Tamandua tetradactyla: one gene and its partner. The protein of the gene in region 1 purifies or fractionates together with the protein of each later gene. This does not show direct contact. Links are inferred from orthologs where the notes say so. Each region holds a gene or a part of one and is shown on either strand. Other genes may lie near its edges.

Region 1 (10,405 bases):
CCTTGAGTGAATGAAAGCAAAAACACAACATACCAAAACTTAGGGGATACAGCAAAGGCAGTGCTGAGGGAGAAAGTTACAACTCTAAATGCTTACAGTAAAAACCAAGGGAGATCTCAAATCAGAGATCTCAATAGCCAAAACCATCTTGAAAAAGAAAGCGGGAGGACTCATATGCACCTATTTTAAAAGCTTATTATAAAGCTACAGTGGTCAAAACAGTGTGGTATTGGCACAAGGACAGACATATAGACCAATGGAATCAGACTGAAAGTTCAGAAGTAAAACCTTTAAAGCTAGGGTCAATTGATTTTTGACAAGAGTGCCAAGTCCACTCAACAGGGAAAAGAATAGTCTCTTCCACAAATGGTGTTAAGGAAACCGGAATGCCATATCCAAGGAATGAAAGTGGACTCTACTTCACACCATATCCAAAAATTAACTCAAAATGGATTAAAGAGCTAAATAGAAGAATCAAAACTATAAAACTCCAAAAAGAAAACAGGGCAGTATCTTCAGGACCTTGTGTTAGGCAACGGTTTCTTAGATTTTACCCCAAAAGCACAAGCTAAAAAAAAAAAGGATAAATGGACATATCAAAATTAAAAACTTTTAAGCATCAGAGGACTTCACTATGAAAGTAAAAGGACAACCTACAGAACGGGAGAAAGCATTTGGAACCAGCATATTCCATAAGGGGTTAATATCCAGAATATATAAACTCTTACAACTCAACAGCCAAAAGACAAACAACCCAATTTTAAAAATAGGTCTGTTCTAGTTTGCTAGCTGCCAGAATGCAATAAACCAGAAATGGAATGGCTTTCAAAAGGGGAATTTAATAAGTTGCTAGTTTACAGTTCTAAGGCCGAAAAAATGTCCCAATTAAAACAAGTCTATAGAAATGTCCAATCTAAGGCATCCAGGGAAAGATACCTTGGTTCAAGAAGGTCAATGAAGCTCAGGGTCTCTCTCTCAAGTGAGAAGGCACATGGTGAACACAGTCAGGGTTTCTCTCTCATCTGGAAAGGCACATGAACACAGTGTCATCTGCTAGCTTTCTCTCCTGGCTTCTGGTTTCATGAAGCTCCCCAGGAGGCGTTTTCCTTCTTCATTTCCAAAGGTTCCTGGCTGGTGGACTCTGCTTCATGGTGCTGCAGAATTCTCTGTTCCCTCTGAATCTCTCATTCTCCACAATGTTTCCTCTTTTGCAGGACTCCATTAAACTAATCAAGACCCACTCAAATGGGTGGAGACATGTCTCCACCTAATCCAGTTTAACAACCACTCTTGATTGAGTCACATCTCCACGGAGATGATCTAATTACAGTTTCAAGCATACAGTATTGAATAGGGATTAGAAGAAATGGCTGCCTTTACAAAATGAGATTAGAATTAAAGCATGGCTTTTCTAGGGTACACACAACCTTTCAAAACGGCACAGGGTCAAAGACTCAAATTTCTCCAACAATACACACACAAAAAAAAACACATGAAAAGATGCTAGACATCATTAGCCATTTGGGAAAAGTAAATCAAAACCACAGATACCATTTCACACCCACTAAAATGGTTACTACTGAAAACCAGAAAATAGCAAGTTTGTAGGAGAAAACGTGGAGAAACAGGAACACTGCTGGTGGGAACGTAAAATGAAGTACCTCCCATGGAACACAGTGTGGTGGCTCCTCAGAAAGTTAAGCACAGAATTACCATCTAACCTGGCAATCCCACTTTAGGCATACACCCAAAGGAAATGAAAGCAGGGATTCAAATAATGTTTCACATCAGCATTCATAGGGACATTATCCACAACTGCCAAAAGGTAGACACAAACCAAGTGTCCTTCAACAGATAAACAGATAATCAAAATGGGGTGCATACATACAACGGAGTATTATTCAATCCTAAAAAGGAACAAAATTGTGACATATGCTAACAACATGGATGAACCCTGAAGACAGCAGGTAAAATAAGTCAGCACAAAAAGGACAAATATTGTTTGACCTCACTTATACAAGATAATTAGAATATGCAAATGCATAATCAGAAACTAGAATACAATGTGCTTCACCAATTGTAATAACGGTAATACTAACACGAAATGTAAACAGGGAAAACTGAGTGTGAGGACTGGATACATGAGAACTCCACTTTCTTCATGGTTTTCCTGGAAACCTACAACTTCTCTAATTAATAAAAACAAAAAAATGCCATTATTTTTAGCTATTAAGCAAGTTACTTCCTTTCTCTGAGTCCCTGGATTGTCATATACGTTCTACTTCGAAGGCTTTTTATTAGGATTAAACGTATATTAAATTCTTAGACTGAATTAGATGCTCAATAAAGGGCTGCCATTGCTTTTATCATGGTCTGGCTGGTGCAGTCAAGCTCAGTCTAAAGTAATAGTTTCTGGGAGAAGGGACGGATATAAATGGAGATTTGGGCGTTTGCGGTGCAAGGTGGCTGCACCAGGGAAAGGGGGGGACAGGGCCCAGGTGCAGTCCGGGTCGGGGCCCGTCACACGTCCAGGGCACGTCTGGGCAGGTGCAGTCCGGGTGGGGGCCCGTCACACGTCCAGGGCACGTCTGGGCAGGTGCAGTCCAGGTGGGGGCCCGTCACACGTCCAGGGCACGTCTGGGCAGGTGCAGTCCGGGTGGGGGCCCGTCACAGGTCCAGGGCACGTGTGGGCAGGTGCAGTCCGGGTCGGGGCCTGTCACACGTCCAGGAGCACCCCCGGCTCCAGGCAGGTGCAGTCCAGGTGGGGGCCCGTCACACGTCCAGGGCACGTGTGGGCAGGTGCAGTCCGGGTGGGGGCCCATCAGACGTCCAGGGCACGTCTGGGCAGGTGCAGTCCGGGTCGGGGTCCGTCAGACGTCCAGGGCACGTCTGGGCAGGTGCAGTCCGGGTCAGGGCTTGTCACACGTCCAGGGCATGTGTGGGCAGGTGCAGTCCGGGTCGGGGCCCGTCACACGTCCAGGGCACGTGTGGGCAGGTGCAGTCCGGGTCGGGGCCCGTCACACGTCCAGGGCACGTCTGGGCAGGTGCAGTCTGGGTCAGGGCTTGTCACACGTCCAGGGCATGTGTGGGCAGGTGCAGTCCGGGTCGGGGCCCGTCACAGGTCCAGGGCACGTGTGGGCAGGTGCAGTCCGGGTCGGGGCCCGTCACACGTCCAGGGCACGTCTGGGCAGGTGCAGTCCGGGTCGGGGCCCGTCACACGTCCAGGGCACGTCCGAGCAGGTGCAGTCCGGGTCGGGGCCCGTCACACGTCCAGGGCACGTCCGGGCAGGTGCAGTCCGGGTCGGGGCCCGTCACACGTCCAGGGCACGTGTGGGCAGGTGCAGTCCGGGTCGGGGCCCGTCACACGTCCAGGGCACGTGTGGGCAGGTGCAGTCCGGGTCGGGGCCCGTCACACGTCCAGGGCACGTGTGGGCAGGTGCAGTCCGGTGGGGGCCCGTCACACGTCCAGGAGCACCCCCGGCTCCGGGCAGGTGCAGTCCGGTTCGGGGCCCGACACACGTCCCCGGCCCTGGACAGGCGCCTGCCCGCCCCGCCGGAGCCCGCCGCGTCCCTCACGTCCTCACCGGGCGTCCAGGAGGGCGGCGCCCACCTGGCCCCCGACCACTCCCGTGAAGGAAGGGCCGCTCGGGGAGAGGCCCACCCAGCGCGGCGCCCGCCCGCCCCGCGGACATACCTGCAAATAGTCAGTCCGGTTCAGGCTGAGATCCATGGCGCGGGGTCGCAGCCCAGGACCGCCCTGGACCGCGCCTCAGCCCCGCGCAGACGCCCCCGCGGCCCTCGACCCGCAACCCCAGAGGCGGCGACGGGAGCGCTGGGGTGGCGTCAGCGCAGCGGCGGCGTGACGTCAGCACGCTCACCCGCGGGGCCCTGGGCGCATGTACAGCCCGCCCTCCGCCCTCCCAACGGCCCGCCCACGGCTTAGCCTGCTCCAATCAGAGGCGGAGAGGAACGTGAGGCGGGTCCTGGAGACCGCGAGGGCGGTTTCCATGGAGACAGGGAACGCCTCCTAGCTGCGCAGTCCCGGCTGTCGGAGTGGGACCGCTCCTGGGGCGAGGCCAGCATGGATTCCGACCCGTTGCATCTGACACGGGAACGGATCCCCGCGAGAGTCAGGCTCCACCTGCACAGCCGTTAATTTCCAGCCGTGCCCCAGCTCTTAGCCTTAACCCCTTTAGAAAACTCTTGAGTTGAGGACCACGGAGAGCTTTGGTTATGTGAGTTTCTGATATTTGCCATTTTAGAAATTAGAACTAAAATTTCAAAAACTAAATTTACTAAAAACACAATAAAATCCCATTACACAAATAACGTAGTTGAATTAAAAAGATATTTTCTAAAATTAAGAAGTTTTAAAAAGTGCTACTGTTTGCAAATCTATTTTACTATCTGCCTTAACAGAAGACAGTCGGAATCCCAATTCTGCTTCTGCACTCAATCTATTGCTAGAAATTGTTTTTGTTGAAGTATACGAAGAAAATTTTACCCAAATCCAACAAGTAGTAGGTTTTTTAAAGTGTCAGTTGCAGTGTAGAATGTGGCTTCTTTATTCAATATCAAAAATCCAATTTGTTAATATCACCGCAGGTCTCATCAGAAAGTCTTGCAGTATTAGAAAGCTGTCAAAATCAAATGATGGATACAGATTTTCCAAATTTCCAATTAGTACTTGAAAATCTGAATTTTAAGCATAGCCAACATGTTTGTTTTCCTTGAACTGATAGGCTCCCTTCTTGAATTCATGAGATGTATGCCAAATACCCAAGTCTGAAGAATCACAATTTGTCTGGCAGATGTCGTTTCACATAGTATTCAGTGAAAGAGGAGCAAGCTCAGGTAGCAAATCAAATAATGTCAATGTACTTTGGTATTCAGCAGAAGTCCTTTATGCATACCTTCCATATCATCACAATTTAAAAATATATACTCGAGTTGATATTTACAATAAACAATTATTCCTTCACAAAGGACTTTTTTGTTTACTTTTTTATTGTATAATATAACATATATACAAAGCAAAGAAAGAAAAAGCAGTAGTTTTCAAAGCACTGTTCAACAAGTAGACAGATCCCAGAGTCTGTCATGGGCTACCATATCATCATCTCAGATTTTTCCTTCTAGCTGCTCCAGAACACTGGAGGGACAAATATTTTTACCATCACAATCGACTTTTTTTCTTTTTTGTGAAATATAATCAATATACAAAAAAGCAATAAATTTCAAAGCACATTGCAACGATTAGTTGTAGAACAGATTTCACAATCTGGTGTGGGTTACAATTCCACAATTTTTGGCGTTTACTTCCAGCTGCTCTAAGGTACTAAGACTAAAAGAAATATCAATATAAGGATTCAGTGATCATCCTCATTTGTTAAACACAACCTTCTCTGTATAACTCTACCATCACCTTTGATCTTTCTCTCATTCTTTAGGGGTATTTGGATTATGCCTATTCTAACTTTTTCATGTTGGAAGGGGCTATCAGTAATATGGGGTAGTGAGATGGAACTAGCTGATGTTCTGGAGACGCTGGGCCCTCTAGGTTTCAAGACTTATCTTGTCTAGGGACCCATCTGGAGGTTGTAAGTTTCTGGAAAGTTACCCTAGTGCATGGAACCTTTGTAGAATCTTATATAATGCTCTAGGTGTTCTTTAGGCTTGGCTGGAATGGTTTTGGTTGGGGTTGGCAAGTTATGATAGGTAGTAATGTCTCATTGAAGTTTGCATAAGAGTGACCTCCAGAGTAGCCTCTCGACTCTATTTGAACTCTCTCAGCTACTGATACCTCATTTGTTACACTTCTTTTCCCCTGTTGGTCAGGATGGCATTATATATCTGATGGCGCCAGGGCCATCCCTGGGAGTCCTCTCCCATGCCGCCAGGGAGACTTTCACCCTTGGATGTCAGGTCCATGTAGGAGGGAGGGCAATGATTTCACTTACAGAGTTCGGCTTAGAAAGAGAGGGGTCACATCTGAGCAACAAGAGGTCCTCTGGAGGTAACTCTTAGACACACTTATAGGTAGGTTAAGCTTTTCCGCTACCTACATAAGCTTCACAAGAGGAAGCCTCAGGATCAAGGGTTTGGTCTATTGATTGGGGTATCCCTACAATCTAACACAGTATCAGGGGTTTCTCCAGTGATAAAGTTTAATAGTTCCATATTTTTTATCCCAGCCCTCAAGGTATTTTGTCAATATTTTTTGATTATCTGTTTAATATACTCTAGGATGTATCCAGGCATTACATTAAGCTATCTGGTCTCCCTGTGTTTTGATTGTTTAAATGAGCTATCCAGACAAGTAGTGTTAGATTATGTGCTACAGAAAATTTAGTTTCCAGGCAAAATAAATCTTTTTTCCACAAAGGACATTTTTATATGAGCCTTTTTTTTTTGTTTCCTACCAGTGTGTGGCATGATGACTCTAATGGCTGTTAGTACTGTATAGCTTAGAGTCCCTGCTCCCATTCAGGCACCAGCACTATTGCCTGCAATGCCTGCACAGTGCAAATGCAAGCCCAGTGAAAACATAAAGTTAGTCTTAGTATTATTTAGTTTCAAAATATCAAACTCCCTTGGCCTCAGCCTTCCCCACTCCCGCCCTGGGGTCAGCACACGGCTCTTTGGGAACCTCTGGCTTTCGTGACCTAAGAGCTGATATTCCCTTCGCTCACTTCTGTAGGTCCTTCTTTAGTGCTCACAGCGTTCTGCCTTGGACGTAGATAAGTACACTTCCTTTTCTGTCTCGTGTGGGCTATTAGGGGAGAGCTCAGTTCACAAATGATTGTGAAACAAGAAGAGTTAAAACCCTGAGAAGAGTGCTTTTTGGAAGATAAATTATTTCTTGCAGAAGAATAATCTGAAAAAGTTTTGCCTAAGTTCTAGTATATCCCAGACAATTCTTTTTTGAGGCTAAAATAACTCCATATTAAGGAAGGCAACAATATATGAAGATAGTATAGCTGTTTAGCAAGTTGGGAACAATATATATCAATTTTAAATGCCACAGAAATTACTTTAGTGATAAATTTTAGAAGTAAATTGCAACATGAAACCACAGAGGAGATAGGATAAAATATAATTGTATAGAATTATACAATTCTATACAATTTTTTACTAATTCATACCCATTAGTAAAAAAACACTGTGACTACAATAAACAAGTGAGTAAGAAACTAAACATAGTAGGCATTCTACTGTCCCAAAGATTGCAAAAAAGGGTTATGTCACAACCGTGGATACTAAATCCTCCCACTGTGTATTTCTTGTTTCCCTCCTCCCTGGCACTATGTTAACAATTTGAGGGAAATGGTACAGATATCATTATTGCTGTTTATGTGCAATAACAAGCCAACCATCAGAATGTTGAAAACCTGATAAGTGGGCAGAAATTCTTTTTTTTTAATGACCTTTGGGGAGTATGATGCATAGTCCAGGGATGGATAAGACTTTAGAAGCTTTCTAATCCAGTGCTATAATTGCACAAAGCCCTTAGGGATTTAAAATGTGTGTCGTTTTTTCATTGTACATGATAGAAAGGTAATTTTAAAGAAAAAAATTCACAATAAATTGCTATCTAATTAAGGTAGCATTATAAAATTCAACTTTATACAATCTCTACAATATTTACAATAAAAACAAATTGGTAAAGAATAGTTTCCATTTAACAAGTAAAGCTCACTCTTTATTTCACTTTAATCATGTAGAAAAAGTTTATTTTGAAGATCAAATTTATTTTAAAGCATTGAAATGAAAAAATGTCATGGCATTGAAAATTGACAGAAAAAGAGCTTGCAAAATAAAATATTCAGAGTTCTTTCATTCTGCATCCAAAAAAAAGGTAACTTATTATTTTAAAAGCTGTGTTTTGTCTCTGAATGATTAACAAAAGTTCGAACTATTATTTTTTAAACACTTCTCAACTAAGTCGCTAGCAGATATGAAGAGTTTTTATTCTAAATAAATAAATAAATTGCCACCATATTTTCCCTTTGTAAACATGTTTTGAGGTACTAAAAACCAGCAGATGATTGATTGTATCTCAGATGTGGTGAAGAGCACAGGCCTTCAGATCGGTTTGCAGGAGTATCATGCTCCTCGGTAACTCGTCCTTTTACCTTGTGGTGGTCAAGCAGCCATTATGGGCAACCACTAAGCAACTGATGATGAAGAACCAAAGCCATTTAAATTGCCTTCAAGTTAAACCGTAAATACGTCTAGCGGTGGTTTCCCGAGCGACTGAGTCCTGAAGACAAATTGCCCTTCACTAGTGTGCTCCCTTGGTAAAAATGTGGAAACTTACTTTTTTTAAAAGCAGAAAAACAGCCATTTTAGATTTATTTTTTAAAAAACTAAGGGGAGAAATGGAAAGCATGATCATGGTTGCTCCTTGGGCATCACACCCTGAAACGCTTCTACCCCCGACATCCGGAGCCCTGATGGCGTAAACCGGTTTTGGAAGAACAAGTCACTAAGATCCAGCCACACAATTAATCAACGTAGCTTCAGTTCTCCTGCTCAGTAAGACAATTTCCCTTCTCATTTACAAAAACTGCTTTCACTTGGCTTAGGGATTTGAAATAATATATTGGACATGATTGCATAAAAGAGCTATTCTTAAATGGTTCTCAAATTTATTTTAATAATCACAACATATTCATGTGATTTCTAACTTTTTATAGTGCACAGAACTGTTTGAAGATACTAGATCTTATTTTATATTGTTCCCTATTTTAGGTCTATAAATCCGAGCTTCTCTACATTGTGAACATAATGTCAAGTGTCTTCAGTAAATTTAATGCAGCAGGCACTTAGACAACGCTGAGCTTTCAATACAGTAAGCTTAAGAAACAGTGTGGTAAGGGGTGTGGTATGTTTAATCTTTTTTTTTCTGTTATCGTTTTATTTTTTTCTGTTGTCTTTTTCTTTTCCTAAATTGATGCAAATATTCTGAGATGATGAATATGCAACTATGTGACGATATTAAGAATTACTGATTATATATGTAGAATGGAATGATATGTTAATGTTTTTGTTTGTTTGCTGTTAATTTAAAAAAAAAAGAAACAATGTGCGTGTGCTTCCTTTCCTTCATCTTCTCTGTAACTGAGAAATGAACTGAGAACAGTAAGGAGGTCAACAGGTAAGAGATGATACAGGAAAGAAAGGGACCTAAACAACTCTTTCTAGATAAGCTGTTTTGGATCCTCTTAAAACGCTCCCTTCTGCCCAGTTGTCCTACCAAGCACCAGCGTCTTCACGCTTTGCCTTAAAGTCCAACATGCCTGTTACAAGACTGACAGCGGCAAGAGCCTGCTGGACCAGGGCTACCGTTCACTTGAGAAGGAGCATTAAGTCTGACAAGCATTCCCCAGCCGAAGCCTCACCTTGATCCAAGCTACCAAATGTGGTGTCTTGGGATTAGGGCATGTCCCCTAGAAGCAAAGCCTAAGATGGGATGTGGGTGCAGGGATGTGCTGAGGGAGGGAGTGCTCTCAGGAGCAATGCAAGAGGGAACAGGACAAGGCAGGGGTAGGAGCTACGCAAGGATGCAGTCCCAGCTGAAGTCTGGCTTCAGCCTGACCCTCGGGGCGCTCTGGAGCAGAAACTGCACCGAAAGTTTGGCCTCACCTTGAGACAAAGGGCCTGCCTCTTTCCCCATCCCAGTCAATCAGTTATTGGGCATGGAATGGTGGAGAAGTAACATCTGGGCAAGGTCGCTGCCCCCCTCCACTGGGGCGATTCTCTGGAGAAAGGGCTTTGAGGTGCCAACACGCACAGCATCCGGGGGGTGCAGGGTCCGGCTCGGTAAAGGGGTCCGGGCTGGGCTTCCACCAAACCCGCTACCCCTCGTCGTCACATCTTCCTTGACTGCCAATAGGAACTATGAGGAGGGACAAAGACAAATATTGAGAGCACGGCTGTTTCATACAAGCATAGTAAAGAAAGGAAAACAACCTACACTAAGAGCTCCAGAGTTGGAAGAGGGGTGCACCCCCCAAGAAAGGATGTACACACATGGCCTTAGACGCCGTGAGCTTTACCTTCACCGCTTGTCTCACTTCCAGACTGCGAGAATCCTAGGCAGAACGTCCACAACTGAACTTGCCACTTTTCTCCTTCAGAATTTTCCCAGCCACCATTAGAAAGATTACTAGATATTGTGTTCCCTAGCTAATAAGCAAAAACTCCCACCTCGAGAAACTGGACAATGCTATAAACTACAAGTCCTGTCTATTACAGAAAGTCCTTATCTTTGCTCTCTTAATAGAGATGTATAGAAACATGTAACAGTGGGAAAATTCAGTATTTTATTAAGTTCTAAGACATGACAAAATGTTTAACCATAAAATACATGGTTTGAAAAATGTTCCAAACAAAATATTAT
Region 2 (10,062 bases), on another chromosome or scaffold:
TCATTTAATCCACATTTTTTACTCATTGGTCCATACCCTTGATATAAGGAGCATCAGACACAAGGTTCTCACAATCATACAGTCACATTGTAAACATTGTGTCTTAATACAACCATCTTCAAGAATTTAGGTTACTGGAATACAGCTCAATACTTACAGGTCCCTCCCTCTAGCCACTCCAATACACCATAAACTTAAAAGGGATATCTATATAATGCATAAGAATAACCTCCAGGGTAACCTCTCAACTCTGTTTGAAATCTCTCAGCCACTTACACTTTATTTCATCTCATTTCTCTCTTCCCCCTTTTGGTCACGTAGACTTTCTCAATCTCTTGATGCTGGGTCCTGGCTTATACCAGGATTTCTGTCCCATGTTTCCAGGGAGATTTATACCCCTGGGAGTCTTGTCTCACATAGGAGGGAAGGCAGTGAGTCTACATGCTGAGTTGACTTAGAGAGAGAGGCCACATCTGAGCAACAAAGGAGGTTCTCTGGGGGTGACTCTTAGGCCTAATTTTAAGTAGGCTTAGTTTGTCCTTTGCAGGAATAAGTTTCATAGGGACAAATACCAGGATCGAGGGCTAGACCTATTGATTTGGTTTTCCCCACTGTTTGCTAGAGTATTAGAAATTCTCAAAATGGGGAAGTTAAATATATCCTCCAAAAGAGGGGCATTTGCAACTTTGGGATGGCATAGTATGGCTAACACCTGGGTATGGTAGATTAAGCCAGACAGCCTCTCTCTGTTGGGAACAACAGAATCATTTACAATGGTATAACATTTCCAATACAAAGAGAATGGTGTGGCTGCCTCCAGAGCAATGTCTCCAAATTATAATATTACAGGAGAGTGACTGGTTTGGGACAGACTGGACTAATAGACCTAATGTTTTCTGTTTAGCTCTGAACAGAACTCATGGTTATATGGTACCAACCTATGGCCCTGGTTATCTCCAGGTTGAATAGGCAGATGCACTCTAGGATTACCCTGGGCTCAAGGAAGTATTCATAAAACTCTGTCTTCAGGAGCTAGGTAAAAGTTTTAAAAGTTTGATGGGCCCAGTCAGTATTTCATTGGTGTGACCATCTAGCTGCTATATTTCTGCCATCATTAGGTATTGAAGATGTTATACTTAGGATAGAGGCACCAAACAATTTTATACAGCAAGCCTTAAATGATAGCCTCAAAAGTTTATCCCTTAAGCACTGAAGTGACCCTAATGTGTAAAGCAGTACTACAAAACTGAATGGTCTTAGATCTTAACAGCTTCACAAGGAAGGACATGTGCTATAATAAAAACTGAATGTTGTACCTATATACCTGATGAATCTGAAAATGTAACTAAAGTCAATAGAACATATGAAAAATCAAATTAATGCCATAGACATTAGCTCCACATCCTTCAGCATATTTGATTTATTTTGTTGGCTTCCTACAGGAATAGGATCCTGGTTTCATTCAGTATTTCAAGCAGGGCTAATGATACTACTAATAATAATTATGAGCATAAACTCATCTTTAAAACATGTCTCTATCTCTTATCCCAGCCCTGCCATAATTGAAATATAGGAGAAGACTTAATACTATGGAAAAAACCTGAAGTTAAAGAATATATCCAACTATAATAAGAAGTTCCACTCCTTAAACCCTTAGGGAGATGCCCCTTTATTAGCAGGAAGTAGCCAGAGTGGTTGTCATCCAGATATCCCTCAAGATTGGGGAATTGTCAAATGACAGGGAGGAATTGTTACCAAGAAATCAGGATTTAAGGGATGATTTTAATTGCTGACTCATTACATAGATATTCCTTTTTGCTTTCTGGTATGTTGGAGTAGACAGGGGGAAATTCCTGAAATCTCTAAATTGTAATCTGGTTGCCTTGATCTCTGATAATGATTGTATAACCTTTATCTTTTGCCCTTGTGATTGTAAGCCTTGTGACTAATCTTCATCTGTACCCACTGATCCAGTTTTATAACTTTAGAGTCTCGTAATCACTAAGAACAGACCCTAATATTTGTTAATGATGGGTCTTGAGTCTGCCCAGAACTAATCCACCCCAAGTCCAAAATTATGTTGATGACTGAAACTGGATCTAATCAAAGTGGGCCCACCTGAAATGCACAGTAGTTTAGACTTTATCCTACAAGTCACCTATACCTCATTCCGCTATTTTCTTTCATACATTTTGTGACTAAGCATGTAAACAATCTATGCACGCTCAATAATCAGATCACCCCTAATTACATTATCTGGAACCACTGTGCTCATTATCCTAAACCTTGCCCATCCTTCCTCTAATAAAAAACTATATAAATTACTGGAGTTTGGGGAGACAAATTTTGGGCCACTAGGCCATCTGCTCTCCCACTATGCCCCTAGTAATAAACTCTTTCTCTCTTTGAAACTCCAGGGTCTCAGGAATCAGTTATTGAGCACGTTGGGCAAAAGAACCCATGACCTTTGTCTGGTAACATCTCCAAGGAAACAACCTAATGAAAAGATCCCATTCACAATAAGTTTATCCCACAAGATTGGATTAAAAGTGTATGGCTTTTCTAGGGTACCTAACAGTTTCAAGTCAGCACAGTACTGATTAGCTTATTTGAAGCCCTCAGATGAGTCCTTGGACTTTTCAATTACTTGCATTCATTAATTCCACTTTTATGCATATGCCAGTTTGAGTTGGGGTTCTGTTGCTTATAATCCAAATAATACTTAAACAGCCAATTTGAAATGTTTATTTTTAAAACAAATTTTTAATTTTTTTTTAAAATAAGAAACACAAACATTCTTAATATATGATCATTCCGTTCTACATATATAATCAGTAATTCACAATATCATCACATAGTTGCATATTCATTATCATGATCATTTCTTGGAACATTCGCATCACTTCAGAAAAAGAAATAAAAAGACAACAGAAAAATAAAACAAAAACAGAAAAAAAATTATATATACCATACCCCTTACCCCTCCCTTTCATTGTTCACTAGCGTGAAATGTTTATGTTGATGGTAAGACTGGAAAGTTAAGTTTTCTTTTCAACACAAATATTTATATGGAGACTAAGAATCATGTAAAATCTTGATGATAGGATTCAATGTGATATATTGGAAAGAATATCAGCCCAGAAGTCAGAAAATTTGGGTTCTAATCCTGGAAGTTCATTCAGCTGTATGACTTTGCAAAATTAAGCCGATTATCAAAATAATTAAGCGTTCATATTTGCTTTGAATGTTGCAATATGTGAGGTCAAAGTACTACTAGCATTCCTTCCAGAGCTTCTTATGTATATATAATGGTAAGTTTTGATTTGGGGGGTGTTTTAAATTTATCAGCTGCTTAAGAAAATACCATGAAATAGGTTGGATTAAACAATGAGAATTTATTTGCTCAAAGTTTGAGGCTGGGAAAAATTTCACATGTAGGCATCACCAAGGCGGTGCTTTCTTCCTTAACACTGGCATTCTGAGTGGACTGCTGGTGACCCTTGGTCTCTAGCTTGTCATGACAGAGTTTTCCTGTGTCTCCCTTCTCTTTCATTGTTGTTCAGTTTCTTGCTTACTGTGGCTTTCTCTTGCTTTTCAAATACTGGGGTGAGGGTTTTAACATATCCAAACATTGGGGAGACCACCTTGTTCTTGAACCCACCCCTGGAAGCATCTGGATGGCACCGGGACTCTCTGCCATCTCCAGGCACATGCTCAACTCCTCCAGAAAAGTAGGGTGTTGGCCGGGCTCTCCCCAACCCCAGTGAAATGTGCTCCACCTTCCTTGCCTCATGGGCAAACTCACCTTTCCATGTGCATTGCTGGAGAGTGCCTCTGCAGAGACAAACATTACCAGTTTCTTGTGATTTCTTCTAAAAATTGTACTTAATATGTGTATAAATATTTCCCTTTCTAATTCATCACAAATGGAAGCATACTATAAAAATTTTTGACGGTTTTTTTTTCACAAAATTATTTAACACTCTCAAAGTCTTTTAGAGGCTGCATAATTTGCCTTAGTATGGATTATTGGTTTATTTAAATAGTTCCCAGTGATGGACATTTAAATTGTTTCCAGTATTTTTTTGTATCAGGAACAATGAGGTATATATATTTTTCTCAACATTCTCTGTTGAGTATATTTGAAGTATCAGGAATACGTACATTTAAAATCTTCATGAAGGGTCTTGGGGCTTCATGTTATTTTAGAGTGTTGTTTTTCCCAAGTGTTGGCTGGGCTGTTCAGGGTTTGATGGTATGAATTTTGGGAGGACTGGCCATTTCAAAAGAGGCAGAAAGAGATAGAGAGTTACCCTGCAGGTGACATCAAAACAAAGCTAGAGGTAGACCCTAGCAAAGTGTGAAATTAAAATGTTTACAATTCCTTTGTTATACATGTGTTGGTGAAGTTTAAAAGTTTCTAATGTTTGATCCTTTCCCTACCTCCTCAGCCCCTACCATGGAGAAGAAACAATAAATGTCATTTTGCTTGGAACACATTGCCCAGCTATATGACTTGAGTGATCCTGATAAGTAGGAGCACATGGCCACTTTCAAGGTTTTCTAAGGAAGATTAAGACTCATGTGTTACATTAGAACCGTTCTTTATGTGATTTCTGGGATTTTCCTATGAAGAGATTATGTTGCATGACATTTTTCTTATTAGTTATCTAAAGTATCTTAAATTGGCGACTGAAATTTGAGAAATCAATGTGCAACCTTATTGTAATCCTTTGCACAAGAAATGCCCTCTCTTCTTCCTATGATCTGGATTCAAAGGAGAGATATTAAGACATATAGTAATAATGATTTCTATTTATTGAATAACATGAACAAAAAGAATGTCTGACTTTTCACAGGACCCCTTTCAGGGAGATTTTCTTTATTGGGAACAAGGCTCATGAGCTTCCTGAACCAACAACTGCTCCTTTCCTAAGGCCCCTCTTCTGAGTACTTGGTTGTACCATTCACCCAGTTGCTTAAATTAGGGACCTGGCAATTTTCCTTTGGGATTTCCCTTTTCCTCATTCTCCCACATTCAATTCTGTACCATCTACTTTATGTTCTACCTCTTAAATTTCTTAAGAATCCATTTTTTCTTGATTTTGCCATTACTCTAGTCCATGTGAACTGTTTCATTGTATCTTTTCTTGCTGTATTCTTTTAATCTACTTAGATTATCAATTCTTATTTCCCTCCCAATTAATTCTCCACTCATTAGCTGGATATTAACAGTCAAGAAACAGGGTTGTAACGTAAGGCGTGAAAATGAGATTCTGCCCTAAGGTTTTGGACCTGGGGAGGGGCGGGGTGTGTGTGGTGGAACTCCCAGGAAGACTGAAATAAACGCAGACTGGAGCCAGGGCAAGAAAGAGATTTGAAGACTGCGCAGCATCTCTAGGTTAAGTTGGCCACGCTCAGCTGGAGGCCTGGTATTTCTCCAGCAGAGTCTTCGGGTGGGGGTTTAGAGACTACACATTTCCTCACCGGCATGGTCAGAGGGAAGCCGGCTACGAAGCGGACTCTGACCCTACAGCTCCATTCCCTGAGGACCCTGAATCTCCCACTCAGAGCCTCAGCCCAAGCCCCAGCAATCCTCCTACTTCCCTTCTCAGGCCCCGCCCTCCTGTTTACAGTCCAACCAACTTCCGTTTGCCTGGTAGTCTGGGAATCCACCGACTTCCGGCCTCCGTGAGGCTGGCTGAACCAAAATGGCTGAGGACGGACTCACGGTGGTGAGCGCCAAGATTCTCCGTAGCGTCTGGGCGGCCAGGGAGGGCCGGGTTGGGAGGGTGGCGAGGTAAATTGGTGGGCACTGGGTCTTGGCTCTTGGCCCCAGTTCCACACAGCCGCCCTTGGGGAGATGCGGAGCCAGGTCCAGAGCAGTTTGGGATGGGCGGGCGTGATACAGTCGGTCTTCTGCTTCCCCGGAAACAGGTCGGCGTAGGGCGGGTGTGAATTCTTTGCAGTGGGGGTCTGTTCTAGGGCTGTGGTACCCCGTGAGCTGCGTTTAGCGGAAAAGGGAGACATCCACCAGATACAGCTGTTTTCTTTGCTTCGTCTTTTTAGCATCACGGGATTTGGAAAGGAAGCATTATCACATGTGTAGAGACAGTTTTTGCTAATCCCGTGGATTAGGAATTTAGTTTGATGAAGCTTGAAAGTCTTCAGTGTCACTGCTGTAATTAGCGTTTAGGAAATTACTGTTACGAGATTCAGTTGGAGATTGAGTTAGGATTTGATTAAACTCCCTGGAATTGTTGTTACAGAGTAACCCAGATAAATACAGCATGAGCCAACAGTAGTTGGTTTTGAGGTATATAATCATAATTTGTGAAAGCACCAAGTGTCAAACTTGTATTCTTGCCTTAGGGTTTCAAAACAATTCCGCCGATTTGTTAGACTGATTTTAGTTCAGAATTTATTGCTCTCTGAAAAACCCTGGAAAACATAGAAGACAAAAAATAGCAGCGTTTGGCTGACCATTTGATCATGTAGTTTTAGGTGTTTAGGAGCTAGGTCAAATTTATCTTCTGAGGCGGGGCTTTTCTATTCTATACCTTCTCATCTGCAGAGTTATCAAATTATTTCAGTTTTAATCAGAAGAAAGGAAAACAGGGAAGGAGGCTCAAAGCAGAGATTTTAAGTGTGAGATGTAATTGTTCACTACAGGTATAGAGAGGTGTTCGTGTGACAGAATATGAACTTGATTTCTGTGATGGTAGAATGGTTCTGTACTCTCAAAGCTCTCAGAATTATCCTGTACTTTTAAGGAGAACTACGTTTCTGGGTTCAGTGGGACTTTAGCACTTAAGCCTGAAGTTAATTTATTATTTTCGGTGTTGTTAGATTTGTTGCTAACAATCTAGTATTGATAGTAATTTTATTTTTTCAAGTTAACACCACATTGAAATTTGATTTCTGTCCTTTTTGGAAAGTGATAATTATAAATTATCTAATAAAATTAAAAGGACCTGTTACTCTTTGACCCAGAAATTCCACTTGTACATCTGTGTAGGGTAGACATAAAAGTGAAACAAGCGTATAGTACAAGGGCATTCATTGCAGTACTATTTGTGGTGACAGAAAGCTGGAAACAAAGTGAATACCTATTAGGAAAGTAATGGATTAATAACTTGTGGTATTAACATACTGTGGAATATTATGCAACCATTACAAAGAATGTTAGAAGTATGCGTGTTGATAGGGGAAGATTTTCATGGTATACATTTGTTAATACAGGATTTGGAGGAATACTGTGCAATCTAAATTTTGTGACTTAAAGGAAAAAACACATAGATCTATAAATATGGACATACACACAGAGGAGAAAAGGTTAAAAGACTTAAAACTCTAGATGAAACTGTGAACACATGATAAAAGTAAAAATGCTGCAGTAAATGCCTTGAAGCTGTGAAATATCCCAGCATAACTGAGTGAAAGTGGCCCAGTGTGGAACACACAAATTCTAATACACCACTAGAACTATTATGGATTATTACCAGTTCCTTAGGAAGAAAACTGGAAACTGATATACACATCTATATAGTGTAAATATGTATGATAAATGGTTTAGAGTTCTTATAATGAAAAAAGGAAAGAAAGCTAGCAAATAGCTTGGGTTTAAGTTGAAGAAAGATCTTGGAAAACCATGATTTGTACTTACAAAATTTTTATAACTCCCTAATTCTCATTATGTGATATACTTGTATAAATATCCATCTGTTCTCCTATGAATGAAAGGAGGAAAACTTTACAGAACTGAGAGAAATATCCTCTCTGCACTTGTTGATCTGTGTCAGGTAGTGCTTAGTACATATCAGGTGCTCCCTGAATATTTGTGAGATAAGTAAATAACAATTACATAAAAATGAAGAAAGAGCCGAAAAACATGATGGATTTACTCATACATACATTACACCTATGAATGAGAATAAGTGGGCTTTTAGAATCCTTTCCATTTCTCAGAATGTTCTGGAAAAAATCTTTTGGAAAGAAGACTCAATTATGATTTATTTTAATTCCACTTTGTGCAGAAGAAGTAGGGTTGTTGACTCATAAAGGTAGAGAAGATGCCTTTTGATCCTCTAAGAATCTCCTTCCCCCTTCCCCCAAATTTCCAATTAGATTTTAAGAAAAGTTAAATCCTTTAGCATTTTTAAAACAGCCTTATTGAGGGACAATTTATATATCATAAAATTCTTCCATTTTAAGTGTATACTGTGTGTAGTTTTAGTAAATTTGTATATTTCCACAATCCATGTGCAATTAGAACATGTCCATTACTATAAAAAATTCCCTTATACAACGTTTGCAGCCAGTTGCTACTTCTGAATTCAGGCCACCACTGATCTACTTTCTGTCTTTATAGTTTTGCCTTTCTGAGAAATTTGGTGTACAAACATACCTTAGAGATATTGTGGGTTCGGTTCCAGAGCACTGCAATAAAGTAAATATCACACTAGTTACAAATTTTTTGGTTTTGTAGTGCATATTAAAGTTATGGTTACACTATCCTGTAGTCTATTAAGTGTGCAATAGCATTATGTCTGAAAAACAATTGTACATATCTTAATTTAAAATATTTATGAAAAAATGCCAACCATCATCTGATCCTTCAGCAAGTTGTCATCTGTTGGCTGATGGAGGGTCTTGCCTAGAAGTTGTTGGCCGCTAACTGATTAGGGTGTTAGTTACTGAAGGTTAAGACAACAATGAAGTTTACCACATTGATTGACTCCTCCTTTTATGAAAGACTTCTCTGTAGTATGTTATGTTTTATAGCACAGTAGAATTTCTTTCAAAATTGGGAGTCAATCCTTTCAGATCCTACCACTCTTTATCAACTAAGTTTTTGTAATATTTAAAAATCTTTGTTGTCATTTGAACAGTATTCACAGCCTCTTCACCACGGGTAGATTCCATCTCGAGAAACCACTTTCTTTGCTTATCCATCAGAAGCAACTCTTCATCCATTCAAATGTTGTCATGAGATTGCAGCAATTCAGTCACATCTTTGGACTCCACTTCTAATTTCAGTTCTCTTGCTATTTCAGCCACATCTGCAGTTACTTCCTCCACTGAAATCTTGAACCCCTCAAAGTGGTCTCTGAGAGTTGGAATCAACTTCTCCCAAACATTGGTTAATGTTGATATTTTGCCCTCCTCCCATAAATCCCAAATGTTCTTTTTTTTTTTTTTTAATATTTTTGTTGAGATATCTTCACACACATACAGTCCATCCAAAGTATACAGGCAGTGGCTCACAATATCATCACCTAGTTGCTAACTGTTCTTAATGGCATCTAGAATGGTGAATCCTTTCCAAGAAGGTTTTCAGAGCCACCAGAGGAGTCATTCTGTATGGCAACTATAGCCTTATGAAATGTATTTCTTATGTAATAAGACCTGAAAGTCCAAAAGACTCCTTGATCCATTGATTGCAGAATGGATGTTGTGTTAGGAGGCAGGAAAATTACATTCATCATGTACATCTCCATAAGAGCTCTGAGGTGCATTGTCAATGATTGGTAATATTTTGAGAGGAATCTCTCTTTTTTTGAGCATTAGGTCTCGACAGTGTGTTTATAATATTCGGCAAACTGTATTGTAAACAGATGTGCTGTCATCCAAGCTTAGTTATTCTGTTTTTAGAGCACAGACAGAGTAGATTTAGCATAACTCTTAAGGGCCCTAGGATTTTCAGAATGGTAAATGAGCATTGACTCAAAATTGAAGTCACTAAATTAGCCCCTAAAAAGAGAGTTAACCTGTCCTTTGAAGTGTTGAATCCAGGTATTGACTTCTCCTCTCTAGCTATGAAAGTCCTAGATGGCATCTTCCAATATAATGCTGTTTTGTCTACATTGAAAATCTGTTGTTTAGTATCTCTGCCTTCATCAGTTATCTTAGCTAAATCTTCTGGATAATTGCTGTAGCTTCTACATCAGTACTTGCTGTTGCCCTTAGTACTTTTATGTTATAGCGATGGCTTCTTTCCTTAAACTTTATGAACCATCCTCTTTTGCTTCAAACTTTTCTTCTGCAGCTTCCTCACCTGTC

The links.
Region 2: the proteins of BBS7 (region 1) and BBS4 purify together in Homo sapiens (co-immunoprecipitation; 7 studies listed by BioGRID and IntAct, counting the BioPlex papers as one, with this or other methods). This does not show direct contact. The link is inferred for Tamandua tetradactyla from reciprocal best matches to the Homo sapiens genes BBS7 and BBS4.

The regions. Positions count from the first base shown.
Region 1 is NC_135348.1:46,865,412-46,875,816, reverse strand, and holds the start of BBS7 (BBSome complex member BBS7), read right to left. Parts: upstream 3,830-10,405; 5' UTR 3,731-3,829; coding exon 3,695-3,730; intron 2,379-3,694; exon of another isoform or gene 937-2,378; intron 1-936.
Region 2 is NC_135338.1:69,646,945-69,657,006, reverse strand, and holds the start of BBS4 (BBSome complex member BBS4), read left to right. Parts: upstream 1-5,656; 5' UTR 5,657-5,711; coding exon 5,712-5,735; intron 5,736-10,062.